Linked DNA regions of Callithrix jacchus. The protein of the gene in region 1 interacts with the protein of each later gene in a pairwise test. Links are inferred from orthologs where the notes say so. Each region holds a gene or a part of one and is shown on either strand. Other genes may lie near its edges. The genes, in order: GRIPAP1 and RAB4A.

Region 1 (6,211 bases):
TATGAGATCTCTTATGGATGGGAGCTGAGTGAGTTTGAACGGTGCAGGAGCTAGGGCTAGGAGCCTAGGTGCGTCTGAGATCTTGGAGGCTGGGATAGAGGGATTGACTCTTTCTGAGGCCCTGAGGGTAGTGACCTGGAGTCTGGGTGAACTTGAGATCCCTGCTGGCTGGGTAGTCTGAGACCCACAGGTGCTGGGAACATGATTTTGGGTGGTCAAAGAGGGAGTCTGTATGGTTATTTGTACACCAGGGGAGGCTGATGTGTAAAATGGGCTCCCCTGGTCTCCACAGAGCTTGGCAGAGCTGAGAGATCAGCGGCAGGGGGAGCGCCTGGAACATGCGGCAGCTTTGCGGGCCTTACAAGATCAGGTATGCTGTACTGGGTGGGCTCAGGGAGGTGGGGTTCAGGATGGGGCAGCCTGAGTGGGTACTACCTAGGCAGGCAAGGTCCCAGGGGTCTTGCTTCCCCCAAACCTTCGTGTGTGTGTGTGTGTGTGTGTGTGTGTGTGTGTGTGTGTCCGTGTCCTTACTTAGCTGTGGGTAGGTCCTGTCCCCCTGTTTTGGACCCGCTCTCACCTGCTGTGGGCGTGGGACCAGGTATCCATCCAGAGTGCAGATGCACAGGAACAAGTGGAAGGGCTTTTGGCCGAGAACAATGCCTTGAGGACTAGCCTGGCTGCCCTGGAGCAGGTAAAGGATGCCTGGGGGCCCTTGCGGATCCCTCTCTGGTTCCCCCATCTCCATCTGCTTCTGGTCCACATCAGGGTAGGGTGGTCTGGCCCCATGCTGTTCTGTCTTTGTTTCTGTTGCTCCTTTTTGTTGGCGTCTAGCCCTTTTCTCTCTGGCCATCCATCCCTACTTTTTTGTTTTAACTTTAAAAAATTTTATTGGCCAAGCATGGTGGCTCATGCCTATAATCCCAGCACTTTGGGAGGTGGAGGTGGGCAGATCACCTGAGGTCAGGAGTTCAAGACCAGCATGGCCAACATGGCGAAACCCTGTCTCTACTAAAAATACAAAAGTTAGGCCAGGTGCAGTGGCTCACGCATGTAATCCCAGCACTTTGCGAGGCCAAGGCGGGCAAATCACAAGGTCAGGAGTTCGAGACCAGCCTGGCCAAAATGGTAAAACCCCATCTCTACTAAAAATACAAAAAAATTAGCTGGGCATGGTGGCACATGCCTGTAATCCCAGCTACTCGGGAGGCTGAGGCAGGAGAATTGCTTAAACCTGGGAGGTGGAGGTTGCAGTAAGCCGAGATTGAGCCACTGTACTCCAGCCTGGGTAACAGAGCAAGAGTCCGTCTCAAAAAAAATACAAAAATTAGCCGAGTGTGGTGGTGCCTGTAATCTAAGCTACTTGGGAGGCTGAGGTAGGAGAATCGCTTGAACCTGGGAGGCGGAGGCTGCAGTGAGCCGAGATGGCACCACTGCATTCCAGCCTGGGCGACAGAGCAAAACTCTGTCTCAAAAAAAAGAAAAAAAAATTTATTTTGTAGAGGCAGGGTCTCACTATGTTGCTCAGACTGGCTCAAACTTCTAAACTCAAGCTATCTTCCCACCTTGGCCTCCCAAAGTGCTAGGATTACAGGCATGAGCCACGGTGCCCAGCCTATCTGCCTTTCTTGCATTCTAGCTTCTCTCTAGTAAAGTGCATAAAGTGCATTAATCGTAAGTGTACACCCAGTGAATCCTCTCTTCCTTTCTCCCTCTCTCTCCCTCCCCCTGTCGCTGTCACTCTTTACTCTCTCTCTCTCTCTCTTTCTCACCCCACTGCTGCCATAGCCAACACCCAGATCAAGGAATAAAGCACTTTTAGTACCCCAGAAGGTCCCCTTTACCCTTTCACAGTCAGTGCTTCCCCAGAAGTAACTATTATTCTGATCTCTAGCAACAAAGATTCATTTTGCTTGTTCTTTAACCATATAAATGGAATCAGCTGCTCTTTGTCTCTGACTTCTTTCTGGCAGCATTATGTAAGTTTATCCATATGCAGCACAGGTCTGTTCTCTTATTGTTGTGTGATATTCCATTGGATGGAATACCACATTTACCCGTTCTCTTCATTGTTTTTCTGTTTGAGATTTCCTCTCTCTTCCTGGTTCTCTTCCCACCTCCCTCCCTGTTTCCCTGGATCTGGGAGGCTCATACCCTGTGCCTGGCCCCTGGGGTCCCTTTCACTCTACTTCTCATCACCACTGCTTTCTCCAGATCCAAACAGCAAAGACCCAAGAACTGAATATGCTCCGGGAACAGACCACTGGGATGGCAGCTGAGTTGCAGCAGCGGCAGGCTGAGTACGAGGACCTTATGGGACAGAAAGATGACCTTAACTCCCAGCTCCAGGTAACACCTTTGGCTCTGGCCTGTCTCCTCCTGGTTCCCTAAGTAATGGCCCAGTGAAGTCCTCAATAAGGTGGAATAGGAAGACTAGAATTAGAAGGACCTAGGTTCCAGTCTGGCTCCTTATTAGTACCTGTGTGTCCTGGGACAAGTCATTTCACTTCTCTGAAACTGAGCCTCTTCCGTTAGTTAGGATATCCATTCTTTTTTTTTTTTTAAGACATAGTCTTGCTCTGTCGCCCAGGCTGGAGTGCAGTGGTGTGATCTCAGTTCACTGCAATCTCCGCCTCCTGGGTTCGAGTGATTTTCCTGGCTCAGCTTCCCAAGTAGCTGGGATTACAGGCACCTGCCACCATGCCCTGCTAAGTTTGTATTTTTAGTAGAGATGGAGTTTCACCATGTTGGTCAGGCTGATCTCCAACTCCTGACCTCAGGTGATCCACCTGCCTCAGCCTCCCAAAGGATATCCATTCTGATTCCATAATAGAAACCAAAATAATAGTGGATTAAATAAGATAGAAATTTAGTTCTCTCTTGTTAAAAATCCAGGTAGGTTGTTCAGGGATGGAGTGATGGCTTTCCAGTTATCAGTGACCCAGGTCCTTTCTCCATTGCTGTTCCTCTACCTTCAACACAAGACTTTTATCTTAGCATCCAAGATGGTTGCTGAAGCTCCCCAACCATCATGTTTGCAATTTATTGGGAAGGAAGGAGGAAAGGAGGCAGGGAAGAGCGTGCCCCTTTCCTTTAAGAGTATAACCTAAATTACATTCACCGTATACAGGAATAAATCACATGGCCACACCTAACTGTGAGGGAGGAGGGGAAATATCTGCTAGACAACTGTATGCCCAACTATAAATTTTATTGCTAAGGAAGTAAGGGAAAATGAATACTGGGGAACAAGTAGCAGTCTCTGCTATATTTCGGATCCAGAAATTGAGATCACAATACCAACTTTACCAGGGAGAAGGGAGATGGTCTATTAGATGGTCCTGGGTGACTAGCACCTGCTAGGTGCTCTTTATCAAACTCATCCCCTTCGTGTCTGCATTAGGAGTCATTACGGGCCAATAGTCGGCTGCTGGAACAACTTCAAGAAATAGGGCAGGAGAAGGAGCAGTTGACCCAAGAACTACAGGAGGCTCGGAAGGTAGGGTAACATGAAGGTTTAGCAGGGAGGATGAGGGGTAGGAATTGGCTCAGTCGATGAGCCATGGGAGGATGGGGGTAGGTGATATAGCCAAAATATGTGGGGATATGAGGGAAAGGAAAATTGACTGGTTTGTGGTTGACCAGTTTCTTGGCCAAATCCATGAGAGTGGGAGGGGAAAGAAAGAAGTGACAAGTTCCATAAGGATAGGTGAGTACCTTAGCCAGTTCAACAGGGATGGGAGGGAGTAGAGTTTGGCTAGTTCCTTGGTCATGGGAAGAAGATGGGAGGTCTTTTCTTGGTGTTATGGAAGGAAGTTGACTGCCATCCTCCTGGCCCCCAGAGTGCTGAGAAGCGGAAGGCCATGCTGGATGAGCTGGCAATGGAGACGCTGCAAGAGAAGTCCCAGCACAAGGAAGAGCTGGGAGCAGTCCGTCTACGGCATGAGAAGGAGGTACTGGGAGTGCGTGCCCGCTATGAACGTGAGCTCCGAGAGCTGCATGAAGACAAGAAGCGTCAGGAGGAGGAACTCCGTGGGCAGATCCGGGAGGAGAAGGTGGGTGGGTAGATGACAATGCCTTTCCTCCTCTGAAACCACAGCATTGCTGATAGACCAGTGTGTAGTGTGTGTGAGGTGCCTACTCCTCTGCTTGCCTGGCCCATGACAGTCTGCCCCATCCCAGGCCCGGACACGGGAGCTAGAGACTCTCCAGCAGACAGTGGAAGAACTTCAAGCTCAGGTACACTCCATGGATGGAGCCAAGGGCTGGTTTGAACGGCGCCTGAAGGAAGCCGAGGTGAGTTGGTGATGCCTGGTCCTCACCATGACTGGAGCCCTCATGTCAAACCATAGAAGCAGGAGTAGTCAGGCCCTGGAACTTTCTGAGATGTTCTGAGCTTAGGGATATCCTCATAGTCCTCTGACTCAATAGCAGCCCTCTGGACTGGATCAGGGGATGGCCATCAGATAGGACATACTGTCACATGTTCAAGGCTGCCCTGCCTTTGTGCAAATTTCAAAAGGCACTTCTTTCTCCTGAAACAGTACTTCTGTCAGGAAATTAATGCAATACACTGATGTTATTTGAACAAGAACCTGCTGGGTGTGGTGGCTCATGCCCGTAATCCCAGCACTTTGGGAGGCCGAGGTGGGCAGATCACTTGAAGTCAGGAGTTGGAGACCAGCCTGGCGAACATGTTGAAACCCCGTCTCTACTAAAAATACAAAAATTAGCCAGGTGTTATGGCTGGCACCTGTAATCCCAGCTACTCAGGAGGCTGAGGCAGAAGAATCACTTGAACCCAGGAGGCAGAGGTTACATGAGCTGAGATTGTGCCACTGCACTCCAGCTTGGGTGACAGAGTGAGACTGTCTCAGAAAAAGAACTTTTGTTGCCATTTTCTGGAAATCTTTTTTTTTTTTTTTTGAGACGGAGTCTCGCTCTGTCATCCAGGCTGGAGTGCAGTGGTGCCGTGTCAGCTCACTGCAACTTCCGCCTCCCGGGTTCAAGTGATTCTCCTGCCTCAGCCTCCTGAGTAGCTGGGACTATAGGCACGTGTCACCATACCCAGCTAATTTTTTGTATTTTTAGTAGAGACGGGGTTTTACTGTGTTAGCCAGGTTGGTCTTGATCTGACCTTGTGATCCGTCTGCCTTGGCCTCCCAAAGTGCTGGGATTACAGGCATGAGCTACCTCGCCTGGTCCATTTTCTGGAAATCTTATAATACATTGAAAGGAATTGTCATGTAGCAGTGGAAAGCACAGGTGGGAGCCAGTTGTTTGTCTAGATTTAAATCCTGGCTGGGCTGCTTCCTAGCTGTGTGACCTTGGGCAAGTTATCTTACCTCTCTGTGGCCTGTTTTCATCAATGGTAGAAAGAGGATAACAATAATATCTACCATCTAGGTATTATGGGAGAATTATAGAAAATGAGTAGTAAGTGCTGTGTTATGTTTTGTTAAATAAGAGAAAATGGTAATGGAAATCTAGGTCAACCATGTGAATGGTGCAGACCTAGATGTGAACTTCTGCATACTGCCTAAGGGCGTGTGGGGTTCCCCACAGGAAGGGTCATTTCTGCATACCTCTGGACCCCCATTGCAGTCCCTCATACCCCTAACGGGGATGATGTCTTCTGGGAGGCTGTGGCGAGACCTGGGACTTGTCTTGTAGGAATCCCTGCAGCAGCAGCAGCAGGAACAAGAGGAAGCCCTCAAGCAGTGTCGGGAGCAGCATGCTGCCGAGCTGAAGGTGCCTCTCGCATGATGGTGTTCCTCTCTCCAGATAGTGACGGGCCCCTTGGGAGGACAGAGGCTTCTCTAGCCGAGACCTGAGCTGCTTTCTGCTTTGCAGGGCAAGGAGGAGGAACTACAGGATGTTCGGGATCAGCTCCAGCAGGCCCAGGAGGAGCGGGACTGCCACCTGAAGACCATTAGCAGCCTGAAGCAGGTCAGCAAACCCTGTACAGCCCCAGACACACCCCTGATCCTCTGTGTGCATCAGGGCAGGGGGGGAGCATGCTGCAGGCAACTCTTCCAGCACCCACCAGCCATGCTTGCTTTCTCCCACAGGAGGTGAAGGACACAGTGGATGGGCAGAGGATCCTGGAGAAGAAGGGCAGTGCTGCGGTAAGACAGAGGGATGCCCAAGCATGGCTCCCTCCTACCAGTAGCCTCCTCCTATAGGCCCACTGGGCCTCAGTCCTAATCTTACC
Region 2 (6,766 bases), on another chromosome or scaffold:
TCAAGCCCCAGGGTGCCTCACATTGGGCATTAGATGTAAGGTTCTGCCAGATCCTTCAGCATTGTCAGGGAGCCGGAAGGAAAGTATCAGATACTTGAAGGACCTACGGACCTGGAAAAAAGTGGGATCTCCTTTCAGCTAGAAAAAATCCTTCTCCATAATTATATTTCCCTCAGACAAATCTCCAACATGCCTAGGCTTTTGTATATCTGTTTTCAGTCTGTCACAAACCTCCCCCAAAGAGAAAGGAGATGATATCTGAAGAAAACCATAAATTAATCTTGCAATAATTTTTTCTTTCATACAATCAGTAGTGCCTCAGAATCAAAGTGGTCTCTAAGGATATTTTGAAGAAATTCATTTTCTTTCAAAGATCCAAAGTTACTGAGATGCAGAGAATCTTCCACAGTATCATTCAAGGATACTGAATGGCTCCTTAAAATCTCACCGCTGCATATTTCTTCTTCCAGTTGTGATACTGCTGTTACACGTGCAAACTAAATGATCTCTTTGGGTGGTTTTTCCAAAATAAATAGTCTTTCCCAAAAGCTTACCTAAGTCTTCATTTTCCACAAAGTAGAAAACTACCCATGGCTTTGAAAGAGCAGCATAATTTGTATTTCTACCACCTTGTCCAGGTTTCGGGGTTCTCCAGTCCAGTTTCAGTCAATAACGCTAACTATCACTGCAGCTCAGTGACTTCTTCCTTGTCCATAGCAGTTTTTGACAGAAAAAAAAAACCAAATCTAACAAATGGGAATGACTTCAGGTAATGCTGTTTTCTTCCCACTGTCTTTCCTCTGAAATGGTTTTAATCAGAACCAATTTGTTGTACTCAGGAGCCTTAATCAAACCTGACATGCAGAGAACCAAGCGAGAAAGCAACAAAAGATCTGAGCCATTGAACAAGGAATATATACAAAACAATTTTAGGAAATTACAGCTCTCACAACTTTTCAGCATGAGGCCTTCTCTGTAATTTAGAAAAAAAAATGCATTTATTTGTTATTAGGATCAGAGAGAAGAGAAAAATACCCACCCAAATAGCCACTGGGGAAGAGGGAAGCTCTGATGACAATTTATGTGGAGGATGGAGCCAAACTGACTCAGGAAAAAAAAAAAAAAAAAAAAAAAAAGTATGTACTGGCATTTTCCACACAACCCAGGTCACTTGGGAACTAAGCCAAGGATATTTTGAGCATTCAACTACCTATTGTGAACAAGGCTGGGAACTATGAGGCGCTACGTGGCCCTGATCATGCTCAGATGGGCCAAATTATCAACCAAAATTCTCTTTCCCATAAATGTTTATCTCTACATTTCCCACAGAAGGGGATTCAAACTCACTTTTGCTTCTGAAACCAAACTATCCAAAGCCAGGTGAGATGACTCACGCCTGTAATCCCAGCAATTTGGGAGACCAAGGAGAGAGGATGCTTGAACTCACCAGCTCAAGACCAACCTGGGCAACATAGTGAGATCCAATCTCTACCAAAAAAATTAAAAATTAGCACGGTGTAGTGGTGTGTTCCCCTAACCCTAGCTACTCAGGAGGCTGAGGCAGAATTGGCTGGGCTGGGCTGACAGAGCCAGACCCTATTAAAAAATAAAAATAAAAATTCCTAAATTTGGAAACATCCCCAACTGAGAGCCAAGAGATACGTCTCAGCCGTAACCCAGAATCCTGTAATACGGGATGTGGAGAGGTTACTGTCTGTAGGCTTGTGGTGACCCTTCAGCACCTGGGCACCTTGCACTTCTGTGGATCCGCCCACATCCGCTCAGCTCCACCCAAGAGGGTCGGGCAGTTGGGAGTGAAAGCTTAGTAGCTTCCCAACAGGTGAATGAACCTGCCTCCCACTCCCAGGGCGGCCTCTGGCCGTACACCTGGGGCCTGCTGCCTCCTTGTTACACATTAACCAAGTCTGGCCTCGATAGTAACACCGTCAGGGAAGTTTCTTCCTGGCTGACAGCCACAGATGATGAAGGTGGACAACGTCTTAACGGAAACGGGCCAATTTGGCAAATGGACTGCTTTCCTCTCCAGTGCTGGCACCTTCCTCCTTTGTCCGGCAGCTGGACCCCACTGTCCTCAGCCCTCTGTCACCCCAAGCCTGCCCACCGCCCGCCTCTCCCCGACCTTCCCTGCGGGAAATCCGGGCTCAACCCCCAGATCCCGCAGCCGCAGCTCGGCCCGCCCGGGCGCACACCGCCAGGCGGCCCAGGCCATGCACGTGCTTGCGCCGCGCGCCGAGGTCCCCGTGCGCCCCGCCCAGGCTTCCCCGTGCGCACGCGCAAACGCAGGCCCGGGCTGGCGGCGGGGAGGGGGCGGGCCTCGCGTAGCCCTCCTCCTCCCGGTCGCGGCCGGACCGAGGGCGGAGGGCCCTGCGCCTGCGCGGAGCCGGAGTCCGGCTGGACTGCAGCCGCTGGGAGGCCGGCGGTTGCCGTGGGGACCGGTTGGGCCCCTCCCTCCTCCGGTCCCCCTCCCCAGGGCCTTCCCCACCGCGACACGCCGGCGGACCGCGGGCGAGAGCAGCCGGTGACCCGGCGAGAGGCGGCGCCGCTCCAAGATGTCGCAGACGGCCATGTCCGAAACCTACGGTACGAGGCCCGGGCTGGCCGGGCGCGCGGGTCGGGCCTCGGGGGGCGTCGGCGACGCTGGGCAGGGCCTGGGCTGTGGGGGTCTTGAGGGTCTTTGTGGCACCGGCCAGAGCCGGGGGACGGATCTCCAAGTGTCGGCGCTTGGGACGGGGATGGGTGCGCGGGCCGCGGGGGGCTCGGGGTGGGGTAGCGGGTGTGCGGGCGCGGGCAGGGCTGTTCACAGCGCACTGGCGTGATTCGCCTTTTCAAGTTTCCTCCTGCTCTTTCTCCGCGCTTGCACTCTTAGCGTTTTCCCCTCCGTCTAATGTAAATAACTGAAGGTTTGGAAAGCCAGCTTAATGTTCTGTTTCAGCTGCGATATTATCCCCAGCGAGCGGTGTGAAGGGCTTGGGGCGACGCCTGTGCTCCTCAAACACTCCAGTTTGACCTTTCCTGGTTTGGAATTCCTTGCTTTACGTTGGGATTACAGTGAGGAGTTATTGATAGACGAATTCAGCTCTTCCTCCGGAGACCTCTTGCTTCGTTTATTTCTCCCTCTCTCTCAGTGGTTTTTAGCCTTTTCTGGGTTGCATTTTGGCTATTTATGAACATGTCTTGTCTCTTGTCTCCTTAAGACCGTAAGCGCCTTGGAAGCAAAGTCCTGGCTGTTTAATCTTTGTTCCCCTGCAGCACTCAGACCTGGAGGTGCTCGACAAATATTGTTTTGAATAAGCGAAAGCTTTCCCAATGCATATACTGTGTCCTTCCTCTCTCCCTCTCCCTCTCCCTCTCTCTCTCTCTCTCTCTCTCTCTCTCTCTCTCTCTCTCTCTCTCGTCTCTCGCCTTGCGTGGCAAGAATAAACAACTTGTACTTTGTATCAGGGTTGAATATTTATAGAGGTTTACCGGTCCCTAATCACTCTTTCAGATGTTAGTTTTCTCAGATTAAGACTTTGATTTGGAGTTTTAAAATCCCAGAGAGAGGCTCAAGATCAAAATTACATACCTCAAGCCAAATTAGTCCTGTCTCCATCTGTCCGGGCGTGCTGCTTTCCTTCCCTGCAACAAATGCTGTGGAATGGCATTAGGGAAGCAGGCACCACGCTGGGAGGGCTGTAAGTACTGCAGAGACACGGCTCTGCTCTCATGGAGCGTACAGTCTGTTGAGGGAATGCAGTATTAATCCAGTTGTGATACTAATGAGTGAATAACTTAAAACCAGGCAAGAGTTCTGAAGAAATGTGGTCTGCGAAAGTGTGTTAGAAACAAAGTTGACCCAGACAGGGGTGTCAGGGAGGCATTAACCAGGCAGCACACAGAACATCTCAGGCCTGTGGGAAGGGCAATTCCAGAAGGGTGTTTCAAGCATTACGCTGGGGAGATGGATGAGGAGGCAGAGAGAAGAGGGCCCTGAGGAAGGCGTCAGTCTGTCTCCTAAGAAAAAAAATGAGAACTTTTGGAAGGGTTTCCGTGCTGGAGTCACAGTGCATTTGGTCCAACATAAGTGAGTGACTCCTGTGACTGGTACTGCCCTGCTCTTGGTGACACAGGGGCATGACATCTGTTCCTAGAAGGCTTAGGATATCTTCCAGTAAGTCGATGCCTTCATCATGACAAGTGTTTGCAAATGCTTCTGCAAATGACAGTGGTCTGGTTCTTCCTGTAGAGAACCACAGTCAGAAATGTAAGGAAAACGTACTCTTTAGCAATTTTTGGTTACAGCTTTGCACTTCTTTCAAGTGCTCTTTAGCTCACACTTAGTTTCTTTAACCTGAGTAAGGAGCAGGGAGCACTAGGGAAGGGTGGAATGTCCAACTAAGAAAAGCAAATGGGGGTCATGAATCAGTAAGAAAGGACTGGAAGAGTTCAGGAGATAGAGCTTTTAGTGCTTCATTTTTCATAGACACAGCCGATAAAATAGAGCATATCTTTGGCATCTCCACTTCAGACACAGTTAACTGAACTTCTCAGCATCACAGATTGACTGATTAAATTCTAATCATAAGGCTTTGACCATTAGTATTCTTATTTCATGGTAACTTTCAAATATATTTTTACTTTCCAACTCTGAATTGAATTTTTTCTTCTGATAGAGGAAATTAAAAACTAGTAGGAACTAATCAATAGAAAATGAGGCCAGACAGGATGGCTCATGCCTGTAATCCCAACACTTTGGGAGGCCGAGGTGGCCAGATTAGTTGAGTTCAGGAGTTTGATACCAGCCTGGCCAACATGTCGAAACCCCATCTCTATTAAAAATACAAAAAATTAGCAGGATGTTGTGGCACACTTGTAATCCCAGCTACTCAAGAGGCTGAGGCATGAGAATTGCTTAAACCCAGGAGGCGGAGGTTGCAGTGAGCCAAGATTGTGCCGCTGTACTCCCACCTGGGCAACAGAGTGACTCTGTCTCCAAAAAAGAAAGAAAGAAAATGAGTTTTAGAGAGAGCAAGCAGGACAGCTGAAGTTTGCCAAGCTAAAGTAAAAGTCACCTAGAACCAAGTCCTGAGCTGTCACTTTCACTTATCATTGGCCATATTTATACAGCATTGTTTCTTAAAAGTCAAACAGTCAGGCTCCCTTCTGGACTTTTGCCTCTGAGCTGGTGAAAGAATGTTTGCCTAACCTTTAAATTCCTTTGTAGTCTGTGCTCATTTTCTCCTCTGTAAAAGGAGGCTCTGTGCAGCTTGACAGAGAGATGAGGAAAAATCAAGAGCCAGTGCATGAAATGAACTGGTTTGGTTTGGTTTTGAAACAGGATCTCACTCTGTCACCCAGGCTGGAGTGCAGTGGCACAATCATAGCTCACTGCAGCCTCCACCTCCCCAGCTCAAGTTATCCTCCCACCTCAGCCTCCTGAGGAGCTGGGACCACAGGTGCACGCCTCAACACCTGACTCATTTAAAAAAATTTTTTTTGTATGTTGCTGTGTTGCTCAGCCTCGTCTTAAACTCCTGGGCTCAAGTGATCCTCGTGCCTCCACCTCCCGAAGTGTTTGAGATCACTGAAATCAGTCATGAGCCACTGTGCCCTGCTGAAATGTACTGTTAATGAGCTACCTCTAATTAATATGCTCACTTAATATACCTTTAACATACTAAAGCTATATATCACCTTCCATAGACTGAGTAGCATTCAACATTTTTGTGGCTTTGAGGTCACTAACCACATGAAGACTGTACTTTATGTAATATCGTGAAACAAATTGAAATCACAGATAGGTTTCAAATGAAACGGTAATCTGAATATTAGAAGCAAGATTCTCCCAAATGTCATCAGGTACACAAAATTCTTAAAGCTCTGGCCAGTTAGTATGGCCTGGGACTTCCCAAGGAACTCTGCTTCAGCCATCTGAGACCTGGGAGATTACAAATTGGTTGAAAGTAATTTTGATGCCAAGCAGCGATGTTCAGAAAGGAGCTAAAAAAGTATATGTATGGGAAAATGCCAGAAATTTCCTTCAAAATTTAAGTGCTGGGGTAGTTTGAGAGTGAGGAAAAATCTAATACAAAATCTCTACATATTAGAGTTTATGCCATCTACAATGGGAATAATTTATGAAACAGAAGAATATAACTCAAATTGCTGGTTCTATGCTCATTTTTATAAAATATACTCTTAAAGTTTTTATTTTGTGCTTCATTTTGAAAACAGCACAGTATTAAAATATTTACCAAATAATTTTGGGAATCAACAGAATAGTTTCCTTGAAAAAATATAGCATTGTAAGCTATTTGGGTTGAATCGTGTTCCCCAAAATATCTGTTAAGGTCCTAACCCTAGTACCTGTGAACATGACCTCATTTGGAAATGGGATCTTTGCAGATGTAATCAAGTTAAGATGAGGTAATACTGAATTGTGGCGGGACCTAATTCAGTGACTGGTGTACTTATAAGATGAGGGAAACTTAGACACAAATGCGTTCAGAGAAAATGAGATGTGATGATGGAGGCCAGGATTGGAGGATGCATCTACCAGCCAAGCAGTGCCAAGGGATGGCTGGCACCCACCAGAAGCTAGAGAGAGGCCAGGAGGGATCCTTCCCTCTAGCCTTCAGAGACAGCTTGACCCTTCCAGCACTTTGAATTTGAACGCCTGGCCTCCAGAACTGTGAGACAAGGAACTTGCTTTGTTTGAAGCTTCCCAGTTTGTGGTTCTTTGTGATGACAGCCCTAAGAAACTAAT

What was found.
Region 2: the proteins of GRIPAP1 (region 1) and RAB4A interact in binary tests that used the Homo sapiens proteins (3 or more experiments, as listed by UniProt). The link is inferred for Callithrix jacchus from reciprocal best matches to the Homo sapiens genes GRIPAP1 and RAB4A.

What each region holds. Positions count from the first base shown.
Region 1 is NC_133524.1:49,539,786-49,545,996, reverse strand, and holds part of GRIPAP1 (GRIP1-associated protein 1), read left to right. Parts: intron 1-292; coding exon 293-370; intron 371-598; coding exon 599-691; intron 692-2,211; coding exon 2,212-2,346; intron 2,347-3,400; coding exon 3,401-3,496; intron 3,497-3,839; coding exon 3,840-4,052; intron 4,053-4,179; coding exon 4,180-4,293; intron 4,294-5,670; coding exon 5,671-5,748; intron 5,749-5,850; coding exon 5,851-5,946; intron 5,947-6,068; coding exon 6,069-6,125; intron 6,126-6,211. UniProt on the Homo sapiens protein: Regulates the endosomal recycling back to the neuronal plasma membrane, possibly by connecting early and late recycling endosomal domains and promoting segregation of recycling endosomes from early endosomal membranes.
Region 2 is NC_133520.1:21,261,097-21,267,862, reverse strand, and holds the start of RAB4A (ras-related protein Rab-4A), read left to right. Parts: upstream 1-2,403; 5' UTR 2,404-2,570; coding exon 2,571-2,601; intron 2,602-6,766. UniProt on the Homo sapiens protein: The small GTPases Rab are key regulators of intracellular membrane trafficking, from the formation of transport vesicles to their fusion with membranes.